2 linked regions of the Drosophila melanogaster genome follow. The protein of the gene in region 1 interacts with the protein of each later gene in a pairwise test. Each region holds a gene or a part of one and is shown on either strand. Other genes may lie near its edges.

Region 1 (10,731 bases):
TGTCACTTGGTATCACCGTGAATTAAACACTTTTCCCAGCCCCCAAACGCCTGATGCTAAAGCAGATTAAATCTTCGGAAATTAGACAATATCTTCATTAAATGATTTGCTCTAAAGAACTTATGGAAAGACGGCCCAAGGTAATCGGGTGTTAACTTAATCCAAACTCCATTAGCATCAGTTCGAAGCTGGAAAACCATTCAATGCCTCAGTTTAACCTTTGTGCGGCTGTGCTAACAACTCTGCTGACATATCATGGGGTTTTGGCCGGGAGGGGATTTTCCTCTGGTTGACCCACATACATAGCTCCCCAGAATACCGAATTCAGAATTGTTATGGTAATTTACAACCTCCAGTTAAATATTTCAGCTGCACCCAACTGTTGCAGCCCGCTGGGCTGCGCTTATTTATATTTGTATTGTGATCGAGTTGACAGTAGCACAAATTTTGATTGATGACGCTTGATTGACATTCGGGCAATTTGCTAATTCTATTTCTAGTTGGCCACGCTTGGAAAATGTGTCGCCTTTTGTGGGTCACCGCGGTCCTCAAACAATTCTTGTACATGCCGATCATTAATCATAATGAGTCGACTGCAATTGAGGTGGTCTTTGCAGTGGCTGCGTTGCTAACTAGCAAATTAATGGGAATTATGTACGCTGGGTGGCTGTTGGGAGCGAAAACTTTAATTAACTTGGGCTGTCAGGTCGAGTTGGCCGATTAACATACGCTCAGGCCTATCAAGTGTCTGCCATCAGTCTGTAAAAATGGAAAATATCCAGTCCAGTACGGCCACTCAAAGTCAAAGTGGAGCGGCTGTGCTGCGGCTACAACTAATTGAAATGCATTGAAAGTGCGTGCGACCAGTAAATGCTGCATATATAAAAAATATACAAACAAATAGCAACAACATAAACAAAAACAGTAACAGCAACAGCAGCTGCGTGTGAAATGTCAAGCGGTCCGCACTTTGGGCTAGTTGACATTTTGCCAGTTTGGCTAACCGAAAAACTACAACTTAATTACTCCCGTTTCGATCGTCAGCTCCCCCTAAGCAACCTTTGCGATGAATATCGCCATTTTGTTGCCTGTCATTTGTTGGGCAACAAATCGAAATATATAAAAAAAGTGACACTTGCCAATCTGCACAGTGTGATGTATGACGTTGACCCGATTTCGCCTGCTTTTTATTATCATTTCCATCGCCTGCATGTTGATTTCGTGTCTTGTCTGTCCGTACACACCTTTCCATGCCGCGACGAACGGCAATTTGTCTTTGCCTCAGGGGTGCCGATTATAATAATTCATCGGGAGTGCATTCGAGTGTGGGCAGCAAGTTCAAAGTGTTAAGTGTGATTTTCAAACATTCGTAATACACGGCGTATACTTAATGTTGCCGCAGTACAATGCCAGCGAATCGGATTGGCCTTCTGACACCCGAACAACAAATGTCAGGATGGCCGAGTGGTCTAAGGCGCTGCGTTCAGGTCGCAGTCTACTCTGTAGGCGTGGGTTCGAATCCCACTTCTGACAAGAACTTTTTGCCATTTTTTCGTTTTATTTTTTGAGCTACAAAAATAAAAATTTCTAAAATCCAAAGTATTTTACAATTATTAAATCAAGAATATACTCTCTCTTGACCAAACTGGAAATTGGCACTCGTTAGTTTAACAGTCAGGATGGCCGAGTGGTCTAAGGCGCTGCGTTCAGGTCGCAGTCTACTCTGTAGGCGTGGGTTCGAATCCCACTTCTGACAATACTCTTTTATTCTATTTTCCACAATTTTTTTCTAATACCAATTAAACTATTTTTACTTGTGCTAAACACACACTTCTTTTCAGTTTTGAGAATGAACCGTTTCAGTATGTGGTCCCCAACCAAAAGAAAATTTGATCTTACGGCTCTTGAGAGTCAGGATGGCCGAGTGGTCTAAGGCGCTGCGTTCAGGTCGCAGTCTACTCTGTAGGCGTGGGTTCGAATCCCACTTCTGACAAAGATTTTTTGTCCAATTTCATTCAGCAAAACGATTAATTTTTCCAACTAAAACTTTTTTTGCCCCTCACAATGATCACCATTTGTTTGGAGCATACATTAGATTGCTTTAACGAGCCAGCTTCCCTCTCAGGGGCGCCAGAAAAATTACAAGTAAATCAATTTGTAACCGCCTAATTGTCAATATTCCAATCACATAATCGGCTGCCAGTTAACGATTGCCCCCGGCTGTCGGGCAGACCGACAGATACAGCGAGACCACACAGGCGATGATCAAGCCTGGCCCCCTTGGGAATTATCGCCGTCTGGCATCGCCTGCAAACACTTCTACTTCTACATTCATCGCCAGCTCGAGTCATTCGGCTCAATCAGACAGAAATTAAAATGCTGACTGAGCGCGTTTTCGAATGCGGCCCACTCAGTAGTTTGTGTTTTCACAATTGTTCTTGGGAAAAAACAGTGCAGGTCCATCCGTAATTATGCTGCTGTTTGTCGGTCGTAAAACGCAATCAACTGGCCACGACAATTGACAATTTGGCTAGTGTAAAACTAGCCATTAAAGTTTTATTTGCTTTAGCACTTGAGAAATTGAGGCTGGCCTGGCCATAACAGGCGAATGGGTCAATTGGCATGTGACAGCAAGAAGCTGCAAGCTGCAGGCTGCAATTTCCACAGACAATGCAAATTGACGTCTTGGAAATATGAGTGATGTGACAAGTGGATGCTTATCTGCGGCTCGACGCCCCTGTTTTTTTTCGAGGGGCTTGCCTCCTTCGTCTGATGAGCGCCCATTGAAATTTATGACTTCGTCGAACCGCCAATTGATTGGCTTTTAAATATCCAAATGAAGGCTGCCAATCGCGAATTGTGCGGCCGTAATTAATGTACAAAAATCATTTGAACGCACGCCCCAAAGCAACACCTGCAGCTGTTGGTATCTTTATTTATGGAAAGCTTTTAACACTTTTAATTAATTATGGGATGGAAAAGTTGGCGGCTTAGCTATGTTGCAAATTTATGACACTACAAATTGATAATTGATAAGCAAAAATGCTATCTAAATGCTAATTTCTCGAAAAGCATATAAAACTAGAGTTAAGTGGTATTTAAGTATTGCAATGTACAATTAATATATTATATACAATCAACTACAAGGTGCGTAATTGAAAGGTGCGCAGACATCATATTATTAAGTAGTAGTTGAAGTATTATTTTCTTCGATTTGATACATATTCATTGCGCAGTACTTTATTCTTTAAAACACTATTATTTTAAATATGACTCATTAAAATAATAAATCATAAAAGAAATACCTATTTTTTAATGTCCTTCAATGGTAGTTTTTACTGTGCGCGATTGAAATCTCAGCCTGATTCCGAATTTGTCAGAGCTTTCCGGCGAAGATCTCGCACGCATGGGCACAAAGCTCGACAAAGCTGGAGAGACGCTCTCCAAACCGAGCTTCGCGCGGTGCCTTCGCGTGACGCAGGCGGAGCTTTCGACAGTCTGCTCCCACGAGTGACGTAGCGCAGTATAGAATGCAGAACGTAACAGAATCGTAATCGGAGCCGCATAGCATACCGCTAATTAGAAGATAGATGCCCTTTTCATTTAATCGTATCTAGCTGCGATCGCTTAAACCGGCGCCAATTGTATTCAAAGTTCCGTAACCGAAAGCTTTCACCTAGAGTTCTTGCCGTGGGGTTATTAAACTCAGAACTGCCGGTCAGAGAAAAGGAGACTTTGTGTGACAGGTGAGTTCATTATGTACATATGTATCTGTTTTCCTAAGATAAGCATAGGTAAATAATGGCGATGTGGGGTACATATGTTTATATTTAATTTCAAAGTATTTTGTAAAAGGTAAGACCACGCGGCTTTGAAAGGCAAGCACAAGTTATCCAAAAAAGCTTTTCCGTGGATGTGCATCTTATTGGTGCTTTTCTACGTGCAGCAAAGCAAGCTTTTATTCGCCAGAGCGAAAGTTCTTGGGGTCACTCTAGGTTTTCTTTTATTCCAAGAAAGAAAATAAGAAAATAAATAAGATATATGTATGTACTTATTTTAATGGTTTTCTAAACTAGAGCTTATTAATAAAATGATAAAAGAAGCAATAACCTTAAATTAAAATGAGTGATTTTATCCAATTTTAAAATAATATTTGATAGATGACGAATACGATAACCACTCTTCGGATTTGCCAGGCTGTGTCGCTAAATCCTAGCGCGAATGGGCCGGAACCAGTATTGCCACCTTCCTCCAGGATTTGTCTGATGGGTTGCCAGGATGTAAAGCCCAATGATCTGCGTCGTTTTCCAGTCCACGATACCGATCGGTGAGTATTATACACATACATACATACATATGTAGGTTCCTCCTGCCAAGAACCACATTAAACCTGTTTTTAGAGCCTACGGAGAGCTTTCCGATCGATTCGATCACCGAAGCTTGTTTTTGTTGCGAATCACAAGTGCTCATTCTATATTTTAAACACCATACCATTAAAGCCATAACAATCCAAAGCTTTGGACCCCGCTCGGTGCTCCTCTTCTTCGTCTGATACCGATACCGATACTCGCAGTCAAAGGTCATTGAACTTTCGCCCTCCCTCTCTTTCTCTGTCTCTGTCTCTCTGTTTTTTTCTCGGTTCGCATAAAAGTGCATCATTTTCATAGGAATATTTCAATGCCATGGCGGCTAAGAACTTGTGCAGTGCAGCAATCAGAAATGCAATAATGCCGATGTGGGCGGGGCAGTGGGTGGGCGGGGGATAGGTCCCAGATTCCGACTCCCATTTATTTATAGCTCTCACGCTCTCCTGTAAATGCAACAAATGCGCGTGGGGCTCTGCTCTGCTGGCCGTGAAGTGAAGTTATTTTGTGTTTCTTTGCTGCTTCTTCATCTCCAGTTTCTGCAGTTGGTGCGCAAAAAAAAAAAATAGAGTTCCGTCTGCCAAAGTTACTTGGCATTGGCCATGGAGTTTAGAGTGGACCACTGTTAAGCGAATTCTTCCTCTTTCCGAGGAAACCCCAGAATGTTAAGCTTTATTTATTATCAAGGAAAGCTCATATTTTACCTTTCGTCGGTATTATCACTAAATGTACTTTGAGACCAAAAAAGTGAAAGTCACTTTTATAAGCAAAATCGAAATAAGAATGACGTTTGCTAAGTTTAATTATAATAGTTGGTTATCTAACTGTAGTCATTGAGTTCCGTTTAAAAATTTTCAAGATATAGTATGAAATTTTAAAGTGAATTATGACAATAATTTTAATTTCACACAGTTGTACGTTGGTTTTGTAAGTTAAGCATAAACCATTCTTATGAAAATGGTTTCAAGCGATTAAAATTTATTTAAAACTTGGCTAGTAAGTCAGATTAAATATGGTATGAGTAGGCAAATGATTTTGCTGTCCCTGACCTGCACAATAATTTCGCATTCGGTCCACCCTAAAGGCCTTAATTGTTGTTGTTGTTTCGCCTAGCCATAAGCATAAGGCAAAAAGAAAATAAGCCTCATTCCCCCATCTTCCACAAATCGGCAGAAACAACAAAAATAGGGGGAAGTTGAGCAGAAGCTGCAGCAAAAGCAACAGCAACAACAAACAATAACAATTCCCCGCGAAACTTCCGCTGAGCGAGAAGGAGCGTACGAAAGCGTTGCTTCTCGTTCGCACTCGCAAAAGAAGCATAAAAAGAGCTTAATTGCAGCGAAAACTTTTTCAAGAACTTTTCCAAGAGAGAGCGATAAAGAGAGCGGAGAGCGAAAGTCGGATCTAATTTGAAAGCGTCGCAAGAACCAGAACGAAACTCCAATGCAGTTTCATTTTGTCAGTTTAATCATTAAACAAAGAACTGCGCAACCGATCGCAACTAGCTCGTGGACTCTTGTTCTCCCAATAATTGGTATGTTTTCCATTTTGCGTTAACATGGAAAATGTGTGAAAAGCTTTTTCCCCCTCCAAAAGAAGCGTACTGAACTAAGCTTTCGGTGGTTAGTAATAGTAGTCGTTATATCTTATTTTTCTTATTTACGTGCAGCTGCAATCATTGGCTGCGTCACTTTGGCGTCAGCTATAAACTGGTGGATCAACTCGGCGGCCTCCAAAAGCTGCGCATCTGCTCCAGACACTTTAGCCAACGCCAGGAGATGGCCAAAACCCGCATCAAGATGACGCCGCTGCGCAAGTCCTCGTCCTCCAAGGGCATTGTGCTACCCATTAATGCCGCTGGAGGGTCGGTCATTGCAGGCGCCTTAGCAGGAGGAGGAGGTGCAGGAACTGGGAGCGGTGCTGTCAAGTCGGCGGTGGCCAGCAGCACCACCATTGAACTTGTTGAGGTGAGTGGCAGCACAAAAGAAAACAAAAGTTCAGCTTTCATAGGGGTTGGTAATTGACCCAAGCTAAATTTCAGTTCAGACAGAAATTATGTTTTAGACTCCGTAACGCAATTTTCGTTGTTTATTAACCAATTGAAATAAATCGTATAGGTATTTGAGCATTAAATGGTATTCCAAAAACGGGCATGCTATTAGAGTTAGTTTAACAACAATACAAGCATGTCTTAAAAAAATACGTACAAAGCTATTTATTCCGTAAAAGTTTAATTTTTTATAACGAATAGCGACAGATCCTGAACTTTTAAAATTTCAGAGAACCCTTCAACGTTCTTTCTCTTTAAATTTCATATTTTAAAGATATGGTTAAAACTGCTTGTATGCATATATAAATATATACCACTATAAATGTATTTTAATGAACCGCATTTTTTTGCAGAGCCCCAATAGACATCAGGCCAAGAAGCCCAACACCGGCATTATGCCCATGCCACAGCGTTCCCACTCCATTAGCTCCTCGGCCTCCAGCGATGTGCTGTCCATAAACTCCGACTACGAAGCCTCGTTACCACTATCAGCCTTAGAGGATTCCCAGAATGGACTGAACCGCTTGGAGAACGGTCAAGCCAAGAAGAGGAAACTGTACGTGATCACCGAAAAATCGGATGAGACGAAAGGTCAGACTCTGGAGACAAATGGACAGCCCAAGAAGCGTAAGATGTTCGTGGTTGTGGAGCAGGATAAAGATGTGGCGGGCAAGAAACTAATGATTATGGCCGACAAGCCGCAGACCAATCTTACCCAGCATTTGGAGAAACTACTGCCCGAGCTATTGAATCGCATACAGGACAAAGAACAGAAGCAGATCAAACCAGCTCCAGTGGTGACTAAAGCCAAGCCGGTGGTTAACAATCCCAGACCACATATAACATTGCCGCCCAAAAAGAATCCAACTAATTTTGCAAAGATCACGTCCACACCAAGCTCAGTGCCTTCATCCATTCAGATGCCACTGCCAATTCAGAATACCAAGATCCTAAAGTCCGAGAATTCGGAACTGACAATGAATTCGGATGAGATCGAGACGAACATAAATCTATCGCCCGACTTCCGCTTCCTAATGAAAATCCTACCCAAATTGGAACAGCTGCCCGAGCCCCACAAGCAGAACGTGAAGCGTTCCATCCAGATCTTCGTGGAGAAGAGCTACAGTATTTACGGCAACAAGGATTAGTTATCAGTATTTTCGGGCACAGCGTTTATTTTCCATTTCATGTGAAGCAGTTCCCTTTATTTTCGTACATACACATACATACATCAAAGGCATTTCATAACTTTGTGTAAGACTGAAGCAGAACCAATTTAATTTCTAAGCCAATTGTAAGAGCTGAAGCAGCTCCCCATTTAGACATGTAAGCTTATCAGAAATTTGATATTACCCACCTGGAGATGGGTAGATTTTGTAAAAGTTGAGCCATAAAAACGAATTAAGATTGAATTTCTTTCTATATTGAATATATGAAAGCTTGATTTAAGCCAGAAAGATAAACCGTCTAAGAGTCTTATTTTTGGGATAAGAAGGTATATAACGAGGGGATATTACCACGACCCACAATTAATAACACTAGTGTTTTTTTCTTATCTTTTTGGTTTTTTTTTTTTGCATTGTAATTCCAAAGAACTTTATTTAGTTTGAAAGCATTTGTTTACGGTTTCTCTTCTTCCATATTTCTTTCTTTTTTTTTTTTAGTTACGTTATAATAATATTTAGTAAGTCTAATGCGGTTTTATTTAGTGTGGTTTAGTTTAGTTAATACAATGGTTAGTGTGTCTTTACGATTTCCATGTAAATTATGCAGCTTCACTTCGTCCTGGAGAAAGGATTGCATTTGGTAATTTACAATTCTTGCCGGCCCATTTACCACTACACGTGTATGTTTTGGGTCTCAGTTTCGTTTTAAGTTAGTATATCCGATTAATGTGGTTAATACATTACATATATACAGTTAAACACTTCATGTTTAATTTAGCTTGCGGGTCAAGGAAACCAAATTATGTGTAAAGTATTAGGGAACTTTGTTGCGTGCCTTTACTGGATGAGGATTTCTACATGATTGGAGTGACTCCATTTCGAGTGCTACATTATAATCGAGTAATATATACTTTTTACAACATTTAGCAAATTTTCCCGTACACATACAATAACTCGTATATCATATTTTTGCGTTAAGCATTTGCCATCGATTTTTTTTTAGAGGGTATAGGGTGTGTTTTATATGGTTTTAAATCGTGTTTGTTAACTACGTTTTGGAGTGTCCTACATTATAGCGTTTGCCTTTTTGTCGGTTAGCGTATCGAGTGTTTTTACATGCTACTTATAAGAAAAAATATTTGCCTTAATGTTGTCCTACGAAACAGTTATGTCATCATCATCATCAATGAGAAGCAATCACAAAGTTTTCTCTAAATTTATATACGACGATTATTACTATTATTTATCATTTTCTTTAGTATTTACATAATTTTTTGGAGTGCACAAAGCAGCCAGCTTCTGTCTGGTTAGTGTAAGCAACTAGAACTACATTCACTGTGGAGTCGAAGATGCTCAATTATCCATTTTGCATTTACACATCGAGTTGGTTAATCGTCGTTTAGATGTGGGTTAGTGGGTTCGGGTTAAAAAAACTGTGTCACAATTTCTACAAACAGCCTTTTGTTAAACATGGTAAACGTACATATATGTTGGTTATTTATATGTTATGCGAATTTGGGATTATTTCATATATGTATATAGGAGTATTTTGTAATTTTTACATTTAATAACCTGAGCGCAATCATTTTTATGTTTTATTCTACCAATCTTGACCAATTCTGGTTTCAATAGACTTCTCTCCCCTGAGAGTCTCATCATCATATATTTGGTTTATATTCAAAGTTTATGATGTACATGGCATCCTTAGGTATCCCGTATTCAATGGAATGCTGTCTTTGTACCTGTATTCTAATACAAACTTGAAGAATTGTTGGTGTGTGGTGTGTTGTGTTTTAATCTCAAATATTGTCCATAAATATACATACACATATCGTATATAGTGGGTGCTAGTTGTCTGGGGTTGCAGTGTTACATGGCTATAAATTCTAATTAGCAAATGCATTGGGTTGGGTTGGATCCACTTTAGGTAATGCGATAAATAAATAAAACAAAATGGATTCGTTTTCTTCTTTTTTTTGTTTTGTTCTTATTTTTTATACAAACAGTTTACACAATTTTTCGTTTTATCCTCATTTAACGTAAATTAATGCGTAATTCGTATCTAGTATATATAGTTAAGAATGATCCTTAAAATCGGTTTACAAGTCAAATACTAATGCAGTTTACAATTACAGTTGATCCTTAACTTATGAACTCATTTCAAATAGGCGCTACAGTCGCCAATCAAATTATATGGGCCCATATGAGCCGATATCTTGTGTCAATTACATTATGTTTTAGTTCAGACCTGCTCCAATCGGGGGTTGTGCTATTCGTGTAGTATAATGTACATGTCCATTACTTATCTCGTACTCGTATTATCTCATAGCTAACCGTCTTACTGAGCTAAGGAGAGAGATGTGGGCTAATTATTGGTGGGGGTGTGGAGATAAGGAGATAATGCTATATACACGGTGCCTAAACCGAACGAAAACTAACTATCCGTATGCGTAGTCGTATTGTATATGTACCACTACGGGGGAGTATGTGCTTATAGATGTAAATGATTTTGATGTCGATGCTGATGTCAATTTAATTCGAGCGGTTGTCTCTGGTCAAATGAGGGGGAAAACAATCTGTACTCTATATGTTTAAGGTTAAGAAAAACTTTAGTTATAAACAAAAGTTGAAAAGAAACTCTACTTTGCTGCACAATGCCTTGGCATTTCGGTGCCTTTATGCTTTTCTTTTCTTTCATTTCGTTTTGTTTTTGCTATGAGATCTCCGTGAAAGTTTTGAATTCATATTGGTTTTTGTTTTGTTTTTGTTTGTTTGTTTTTACGCTAATTCATCCATGTATATATATATTGGATAATATATATAATGCTATAATTAATAACTACATACATAAGAAAGCAGCACAGTTAAGAGAATCGAAGAAGAGAAAAGTTTAAGTTTAGCTTCAGTTTAAATTTCTTCAAGAGTTTCTTCTACTCCATCGTCGTTTTTCGATTAAATATTGATGCATTTGTTTTGCTCTAAACATTGAAGACAAAAGACATTCAAATACACATACACGGTATACGTTTTTTTTTTTTTTAATTTTGTTTAAGTGCTTAATCTACATCAAAATTTTGTCGTTTCAAATAAATGAAGTGCGAATTATATATTGCATATCCTCAATTAATCAATCATCATCGTCAAATGAGAA
Region 2 (8,318 bases), 7.9 Mb from region 1:
TCACTGTTTCTTTGTCCGAAATGTCGTTCCCCGTTGAGAAAGATTCTAGAACGGGTTTGCTACTCTTTAATTGCTCCGCTGCCTTCTTAGCCGCTTGCCGTTGAGGAACCAATGAGACTGCAAAGTTCGACTTGGCTGAGACTGGGGTAGCGACGACAGATGGGGGCTTGCTTTGAGTATGCGTTGGGAGGGCAGGCTTGTCATTTTCCGTAATAGATGGCGGACGTGCATCCTTTGGGACCTTTGGTGGCCTTCCGCGCTTTCCACGTTCAGCAGGTGCGCTTTCGGACGTTTTTCCAACAGTCTTCTGTAAGTGTTCTTTTGGTCGTACTTTTTCAAGACTTGATTTATCCGCTTCATTCGACACACGAGAGCTTGAATCCTTCACCTTGCTCTTTGCAGTTCCTGAAATGGAGTTTATGTCTGGCTCTCTGACTCTGTCGGACACATCTGGCTGTAGCGTCGTGGCGAGATTTGTGGATCGCATGTTCTCAGAAGCCTTTTTGGCTGCCTGGCGCTGTGGCACCACCAAAAGATCTGCCGGATACAACTTGGCATTCGGGTTCGGTTTGGTTTTTGTACTGTTGCCGATACTGGCAGCCCCTTCCTTTCCTTCCCGCGTGTTCTTCGCTTTACTAGTTGAGGACGCTGCTTGGGAAGTAGAGGATGTTGTGGCTGCTGTTCCTGGCACAAACTCTTTCATAGCTGCCTTTGTTCTAATCGTCTGTTGGTTTTGTGAGTCACTAACATTACTTTCCACGGTGGCCTGCTCCTCCTGGTCTTTTTCTTGTTCAGAGGAACTGCTCTCAGAGTCGGAGTAGATATGCTGTCCCAAGTTTCTACCAATGGCCGAACCAGTCGTGGCTAGTCCGGAAGTCGTTGTGCTCTCACGCTGTCGTTCCCCTCTTAGAGGCAACAATTCCTCACTTTCGTCGCTCGATACGCTCTCATCGGCATCTTTATCCATTTGGGCAAGTCCTCGTGTTGTCGTAGACAACTTTCGTCTTGCAGAGGCTCCAGTTCCCTCTCCAACGTCTGCTTCCGTTGTAGGTTTTGACCTACTTGCCTGGCTCCTATTAGGTACTGATTTGCTTTGAATTGGCCCCCGTCTCGCACCGCGCTCTGGTTCTTGGCGGTTTCTACATCGCTCGTCTTCACCGTCGCTGGAGCTGCTTGCAGACCTGGAATCCGGATACGTTGCAGACGCACCCGCAACTGCTTCATTTTGACGTCGCTGTCGCTGTTTTTGCCGCTGCTCAACGGACCGAGCGTAGCTTTGCTTTTTAAGGGGACTTCCTGAGGAAGACTTTCGCTTGGAGACTCCGCTACCCGCGCTAGAGCTACCGCTTTCACTACCCGAATCACTTCCTGAGGAACTATCGGAGCTGCTGGTACCATTCGCCGAGCTGGAATTACCTGATGATATAGTGCCGCTTGACGAATGGGAGGTCGTGCTACTGCGGATATTTGAGTGGAATTGACTTTTGTTGTGGGTCGACGTCGCCGCCGCCGCGCTGCTCTTCGAGGCACGCCTCCCTGTAGGATTCTTCCCTGGCGGAGACCGTACCTTGGATGTAGTCGTTCCCACCTTACTCCCTGCCACAGTCTTCTCAGGCGATGACGTGCGTGAACTAAGAATGCCATTATTAAGCTTCTTGTTTGGCGAAGCTTTAGCAGGCTGCTTGCGTTTGTTAGGAGACTGCGAGGCACGGCCACGGCCCTGTTTACCACTCTGCAGCTTACCCATAAGCTGTTCAAGGATGTATTTCAAATCCTGGTACTGCGCCGGCACAGTTTGTCCTCCCACAGAGCTGTAGAAACGGTCATACAAAGTAGGTCCGTCGTTGGCGTAGATTACAGCGTTCAGATCCATCACAGGTTGTTGCTGCTCTTGTTTGGTCTGCTGCTTCTCCAAGCGCATCTCATCCAGAACTCCCAGCTGCTTGTAGAATACCTGCTCACGTAGCTTAAAGAGAGAGCGCGAAAGCTTTTCTCTTCGACTAACCATATAGCAGAGATTACGAACTCGCTCCAAATCCTGTCGCAAATGCACCACCAACTTATGATTTTCCATGTCCTGTTGCTCCTGCTTGCGGGCTATCATCTCCACATCTTCGGACTTGGGCGGGATAAGCTCGCGATTGTGTCGAGACTTTCTCTTAAGCTTCCAATAATTGTATATGGCAACAATAGCATCGTCGTCGACATCAAATAGATGGCAACTGATGTCATTAAAGTTAACATGCTTATCGAACTCAGCTTCCACCTCCTGAAAATCAATGGGAAAAGTTAGCAACCGAATGCATGCAGAAGGCACAACGGAAAAGAAACTACTAACCTGGAGGCGCTGAGCTCTGGCTTGGTTACGTTCCTCGGAGGTCAGTTCGGTTTTACGGTGATTTTTCCGCCTGCGTGGATCCTCTCCAGTTGTCCCGCACGCGTTGTTGCCGTCGTCGGCTCCTCCACCAGCCCCACTGCCGTATCTGTTTGCTTTCTGCATGGCGCTTGCGACTGAGGCACTGCCTCCCCCATGACTACCAGCATTTTCCTTCTTACCCTTGCTCATACTGTGTTTCTGACAATAAGAGCGCAGCTTCACGCCGTCCTCAGCATTACCTTCCTCTATGATTGCACGCATTTCCAGGCCATGCTGAAACGCGCAAGTCACATGGTATGCTGTTTTGCAGGGCTTTACTGAGCACTGGATGCAGCTGCCAACTCGCTTTCGGCAGAGTACACAGATCAGGGACCAACGCGACTGAGGAATGCTAGAGATTTTCGTGATGGGTTCCATGCGATCCACACACCCAATGCTGACCTCGGGTATCCACAGAGCGCAAGAGACGTGTGCCCAGTGCTTACCCGACTTGTTGGATTTCATAGCGCCGCCCTTATTTGGACAGAGGACACAGTCCGGCTTAATTCCCATCGAACAAGTGCGGCATAGCCATTGTCCTGAAACAAAAGTTTACATGAGCACACTAACATTTCCACTCCACTAGGTGCTGCTTACCTGATGGAATTGCTGTAATGCCATAACACGCCTGGTGCACACAGATATTGCAATTATCACAGAATACCATTTCGTTCGCCTCCTCGGAGTCGGGCGATCGGCAAACATCGCAGATGACATTCTCATCGAATTCGATGCCCAAGCCTTCTTCCAGTTTAAGTATGACTTGAATCTGTTCCCAGCAACGAACCTAGAACGCAAAAGTCAATATATTGGTTCAGCATGGGGTCTAGTGAGCTTACCTCTAGCTCCTCAATGACGCGCTCAAACTGCGTCGCGTTTATGGGAAAAGCACCACATTGGGCACGATCGCTGTTGTAGAGACGCAACCAGGCCTCGTCAATAGGATCTATATCATAGGCACATGTGTTCTCCGCCAAGGCAACAACATTCGTCAGGTAATGCAGATCCGGCGAGTAGTGCTCGTCTTTGGTAATGCGCAGATAGCGATTTTTCGGGCTGTAAACGAGAGCCGCAGTTCAGTACAGAAATTCACAAGTACGAAAAAAAAATATGCTAGGTATTAACTTACAGCTTAAAGTCGTGCGCTGGAGACACAACAGGCTCGGGCAGAACATAGACGCATGGCTCAGGAAGGGAGTCTGGGTTAACGGGCACTTGCACACCCTTTTCCCATTCCTGCTTCCATGGGTCTGTTACTATTAAATACTCGTAGTTGGCCAACGGCTCAGAGTCTGGCAATTTCATTGCGCTAATGAGATCCTTGCTGCAATTAAAATTTGAATATTATTGAATCGTTTCTAATTGGTTTGCTGGTCTGTTAATACCGGTAAAGTTCAGCTGGAGCTTCCGTTGAGCTTCGATTGTAGATGCTCGACATCTTGATGTCCGCTACAGACCGCGCCTGCCAGGAGCTACTAGAACTCGCCCCCTGCGACTTGCACTTGCTTGCCGACTTTGCCAGTTTCGTTGACTTCGATTTGCTAGTGCTGGTAGCGCCTGCCGCGGCTCTTCCTTGTCCTCCTCCCCCCGCTTCCGCCCCTGGCTCTTCATGTTTGCTTTTGCACAAAGGCAGAACTGGCACACGCTCCGATCCTGTAGCTGGACCCGATCCAGTCACTTCAGCTACTGCTGCCGTAGTGGCTCCATTAGGTGGCCTACCTTTGCGCCGCTTGGTGGGCGGCGGCTGCGGCTCAACATCCTTGCGCTGATGCTGTTGCGGCGGCGGATGGTGCGACTGGTGATGCTGCTGATTACCGCGCTTACCTCTTTGTGACATTTTTCATTGGTGTTGATTGGATATTTGTGTGTTTTTGCTTCGATTGGTACCTTGTCCCTTGTGTCTTGTGCTTGTTAGAGAACGGGTTCTTTGCTGCAAGACCTAGAAGTAAGAAGGCAAAAGCAGCTTCAATACGTATTTCACGCGATTTATTTACTAACCAAATTTACTTACTACATGCTTAAGGCCACAGTTGGCGACACCACACCGGCTGCTGCTGCTGCGCTCTCCTGGATGTGGTGCGGTCGTGATTCTTGGTGGTCCACCCTTTGTGCCCCGTGGACATGGACGCCGCTGCTGCCCCAGCCCTAATATCCAGTAGCGACGCCACTTTGCAGTCCTGTGTGCTCCGCACTTCTCCACGGGCGAGTTAGTCCACTTCCACTGCCACCTTCCGCTTGCTGCCTTTTGTTATTGTTCGTTGTTTATCCACAGACTTTTGCAAGTTTTTCTTTGGCGTTTGGCTCACTGGTTTGGATTCTCGACGAGCATTCGCTAGTCTGGTGGGAGAGAAGGCATATGTTTGTGGGTTATTCGCTTATATTAGGAGCGTTCCCAGTAAGTGTCCACATTTTCTATGCTTTCCGAAAATACACAAAAAATATAGAAAAACGTTCAAGCTGCCAATAGGTGACTGGTGCAAAACCCACAGGCGCCCTCCCGCTCGCACATAGCACGCTCGTTTAAGGGCGCGCTTACTATGCGCGTGAGTGCAAGCAGGAGGCAAGCAGGTGGCGTTCGTGTTGCATCCGCCAGCTTATACACGGCACCCAGCATACCCCTCCGACACTTCACTACTCAGAAGCAATCAAAGTTTTTGCACTTTTTTTTACACTTTTATTATAACAACTTATTTGTTATTGCTATCCGCAAACCTAGACAGCCACTCTGCTCGTCGCTAGCGCTTCCGCACGCGACACGCCCACTCAGGGCGCCACTTTCGCACTGCCCATTCTTGGGGGAGTTGGGATTTTGTTATATATTTTACATTTGGGTTTTTTGCCGCCGCAGACACACACGCCAAGCACTTGTTACTGACCGAAGACCGCTCACAGTCTTCGCATTTCGTGAAGCGTCCGTATCAAACTCACGTTTCCCAAAATCGCATTTGCGTTCGCAGGAATTACAATTCTTTTGATTATTTATTTTATTTTTGAGCAAAAATTATTTTTCTCAGATCGCCATGATGAACGGTTGCAAATTTAAACTATCGAGTGCATTTAGTCGGTGGTCGGTATCGATACACAGCTTGGGTATATACAGAGTTGCATTCGGCCCAACGCTGTATTTTGTTTTAACAACATTTAATTAATTTCCACAGAATTTTCATATTAATTTGTATTTGAAAAAAAAAGTTATTTCCATTAAGTTAAGATATGTTAATTAAGAATTTTCTTATTATTACCTCTAAATATTATAGATTTTCTTAACTTAATAGAAGTTAATAATTATGTAACAAACAATGTCGAAATGATGAAATTACAATCTTTTTATTTTTTTAGAGAGGAATTTTTTATTCGTTAAAAAAAACCCGATAAGCTGAAAACAAACATCGCGATTGAAGATAAATATCGGTTAAAAATATGTTATTGTGATTACAGAGGAAAACTATCGACTGAGCGCACCCAGGAGCCCATCTCCAGCACCAACAAGAAAAAATATGTATATTTATAACTATATGTAAAAAGGAAAAAGTCGCGTCGCACAAAGGTAACGTGAATACTATTTAATCGGACCTCTGATGCAGCGATAAGCAGGCTTTTTTTCAACGGAGCCTCGCTAATTTGACCGCCCTCTGCCAGATTGTCTTTGTCTCTCTCGAAAAGTCGGTGGAACGGTGTTGTACTGGAATATTTGAAGAGTGGCTCATCAAACGCAACAAACATGTCAAACACTCCAAGTCTGAACAGTAGTAGTAGCAATATCAGTAGCAAGGCGCCCCTTGCCCAGAAGCAGGACACGTACAGTAGCGACAGCAGCGAGGAAGTTCTCGAAACAGCCGAGGAGCGGAGGAGGCGCATCCTGAAGGAGCGCAGCCGGCTGAACCGTCCGCAGCACAATATGTCAGGCGGAGGTGCTGTGCCCAAGCACGACATAAAATCCCCTTGCGGAGCATCTCCCAGCTGCCAGGCAACTGGTTCCGGAATGGGCCGCCTGCCGCTCCCTCCCGAAAGGATCACCATGCTGGTGGACGGTGTGCGCTTCACGGTGGAGCAATCACTGCTTACAGCACATCCCACCACAATGCTTGGCACGATGTTCGGCTCCGGCTTCCAGTTCGCTCATACCAACGAGCGCGGCGAGTACGACGTTGCCGACGGCATTTCGCACTTAGTGTTCAGAGCCATTCTGGAGTACTACAAAAGCGGTGTTATCCGCTGCCCGCCCACTGTTTCGGTACCGGAACTAAAAGAAGCCTGTGATTATCTGCTCATTCCCTTCGACGCAACCACGGTGCGCTGCCAGAACCTAAGTGAGTATAACGCGAACTATTCCTGCCAGGGCGAACCTTAGTTGTGGCCACCTCTGCTTGTTTTCCGTCTCTTTCCTTGTAACATGCCCTCTGTTATGTTTGACATAAAGGAGGCCTTCTCCACGAGCTTAGCAACGAAGGAGCGCGACAACAATTTGAACTCTTTCTTGAGGACCTAATTCTGCCCCTCATGGTGGCCTCGGCGCAGCGCGGGGATCGAGAGTGTCACGTTGTGGTGCTCCTTGAAGACGATATGGTCGAGTGGGATGAAGAGTTTCCGCCTCAGATGGGCGAGGAGTATTGTCAGAGTGAGTGTATTTAAAAAATGTGTTTGCATTAGTATCACGGAAGTGGAAGCAACACTAACATTTCTAACGCAGCCGTGCACAGCACTGCCATGCACCGATTCTTCAAGTACATCGAGAACCGCGATGTGGCCAAACAGGTGATGAAGGATCGCGGTCTGAAGAAGATACGCTGTGGCATAGAGGGATACCCCACCCACAAAGAGAAGATCCGAAGGCGTCCCGGTGGACGGGCTGAAGTCATCTACAGCTATGTGCAGCGACCTTTCATCCACATGTCCTGGGAGAAGGAGGAAGCAAAGAGTCGCCATGTTGATTTCCAATGTGTAAAATCCAAGTCTGTAACGAATCTAGCGGAAGCAAATGCAGATCCGCCACTGGAATTGGACGCAAGTGCGTAAGGCTCGAAACGGAGAGTAACAGCTCCCTTAAAGCCCAAATTCGTTTTCAGGTGGAAATCCGATTCCCCCTATAGCAGTGGCTAATCCGCATCCCAATAACGCTGAGCTCGCTGCCGGTATGGCCGTCGCACCCGCAGCTATAGGCGTGGCTGGTCCAGCAGTCGTGGTAGCCGTCGACGAGGCGGCCGGGGGCGTTGTAATGCTCAACGAGTTGGACCAGGCAGCGATCGCTGTTGCCGTCGGAATAGTTGATGAAAATATGTAGATCAACTGACCGGCTGGTAGTCGGAACACACTGCCAGAGCATCACAGCGCACAGAAAAACACTTTACGTTTTTAATTAACATTTTTATATGTATATGTAATAAATGGAAATTTCGAATACGAAAAACCAAGCAATTGATTTACGAATAGAAGAACATGAACGTTACCAGACATTAGCTGTGATCACGCTCCGTCAAAGGCCTCCCGTTCGCCCTGTGGAAGCGTCGAAGTCTCCCAGTTCAGTGAACGATCGATAGCCATTTTCCACTTTTGGTAGCGCAGGTTGCGATCGGTGGCACTGATCGATGGCTTTATGGCTTCTCGGGGGCCAGATTTAGAGAGTGGAGCCTCCATTTGGTATCGGTTTTCAACGGCTTTGTAGGCTGCCATTGCAGCTCCCTAAAGCATTTTTGAAGCATTATTGAAGCTGCATTTACATCACAAGTTAAAGTACTAACCAGCGCTGTTGTCTCTGCGATCTTCGCCCGGAGTACTTGAATTCCTACTAGGTCGGATTGAAGCTGCAGGAACAGATTATTCACAGTCATGCCCCCGTCTACCATAAGCTTGGCCAGTGGAATCTTGCAGTCCTTGTGCATCGAATCGAGAATATCACGGACCT

Evidence for each region.
Region 2: the proteins of bip1 (region 1) and mri interact in a two-hybrid assay, tested with the Drosophila melanogaster proteins (2 studies listed by BioGRID).

The regions. Positions count from the first base shown.
Region 1 is NT_037436.4:8,051,476-8,062,206, reverse strand, and holds bip1 (bip1), read left to right. Parts: upstream 1-3,493; 5' UTR 3,494-3,746; intron 3,747-4,113; exon of another isoform or gene 4,114-4,160; coding exon 4,161-4,327; exon of another isoform or gene 4,328-4,706; intron 4,707-5,831; exon of another isoform or gene 5,832-5,898; intron 5,899-5,998; exon of another isoform or gene 5,999-6,033; coding exon 6,034-6,331; exon of another isoform or gene 6,332-6,406; intron 6,407-6,767; coding exon 6,768-7,562; 3' UTR 7,563-7,874; downstream 7,875-10,731.
Region 2 is NT_037436.4:194,335-202,652, forward strand, and holds mri (mrityu), read left to right. Parts: upstream 1-5,839; 5' UTR 5,840-6,137; coding exon 6,138-6,726; intron 6,727-6,836; coding exon 6,837-7,034; intron 7,035-7,106; coding exon 7,107-7,424; intron 7,425-7,482; coding exon 7,483-7,697; 3' UTR 7,698-7,818; downstream 7,819-8,318. Other genes in the region: rno (rhinoceros), read right to left, coding at 1-2,269, 2,339-2,955, 3,014-3,203, 3,256-3,472, 3,546-3,740, 3,802-4,253; Gk1 (glycerol kinase 1), read right to left, coding at 7,880-8,095, 8,155-8,318.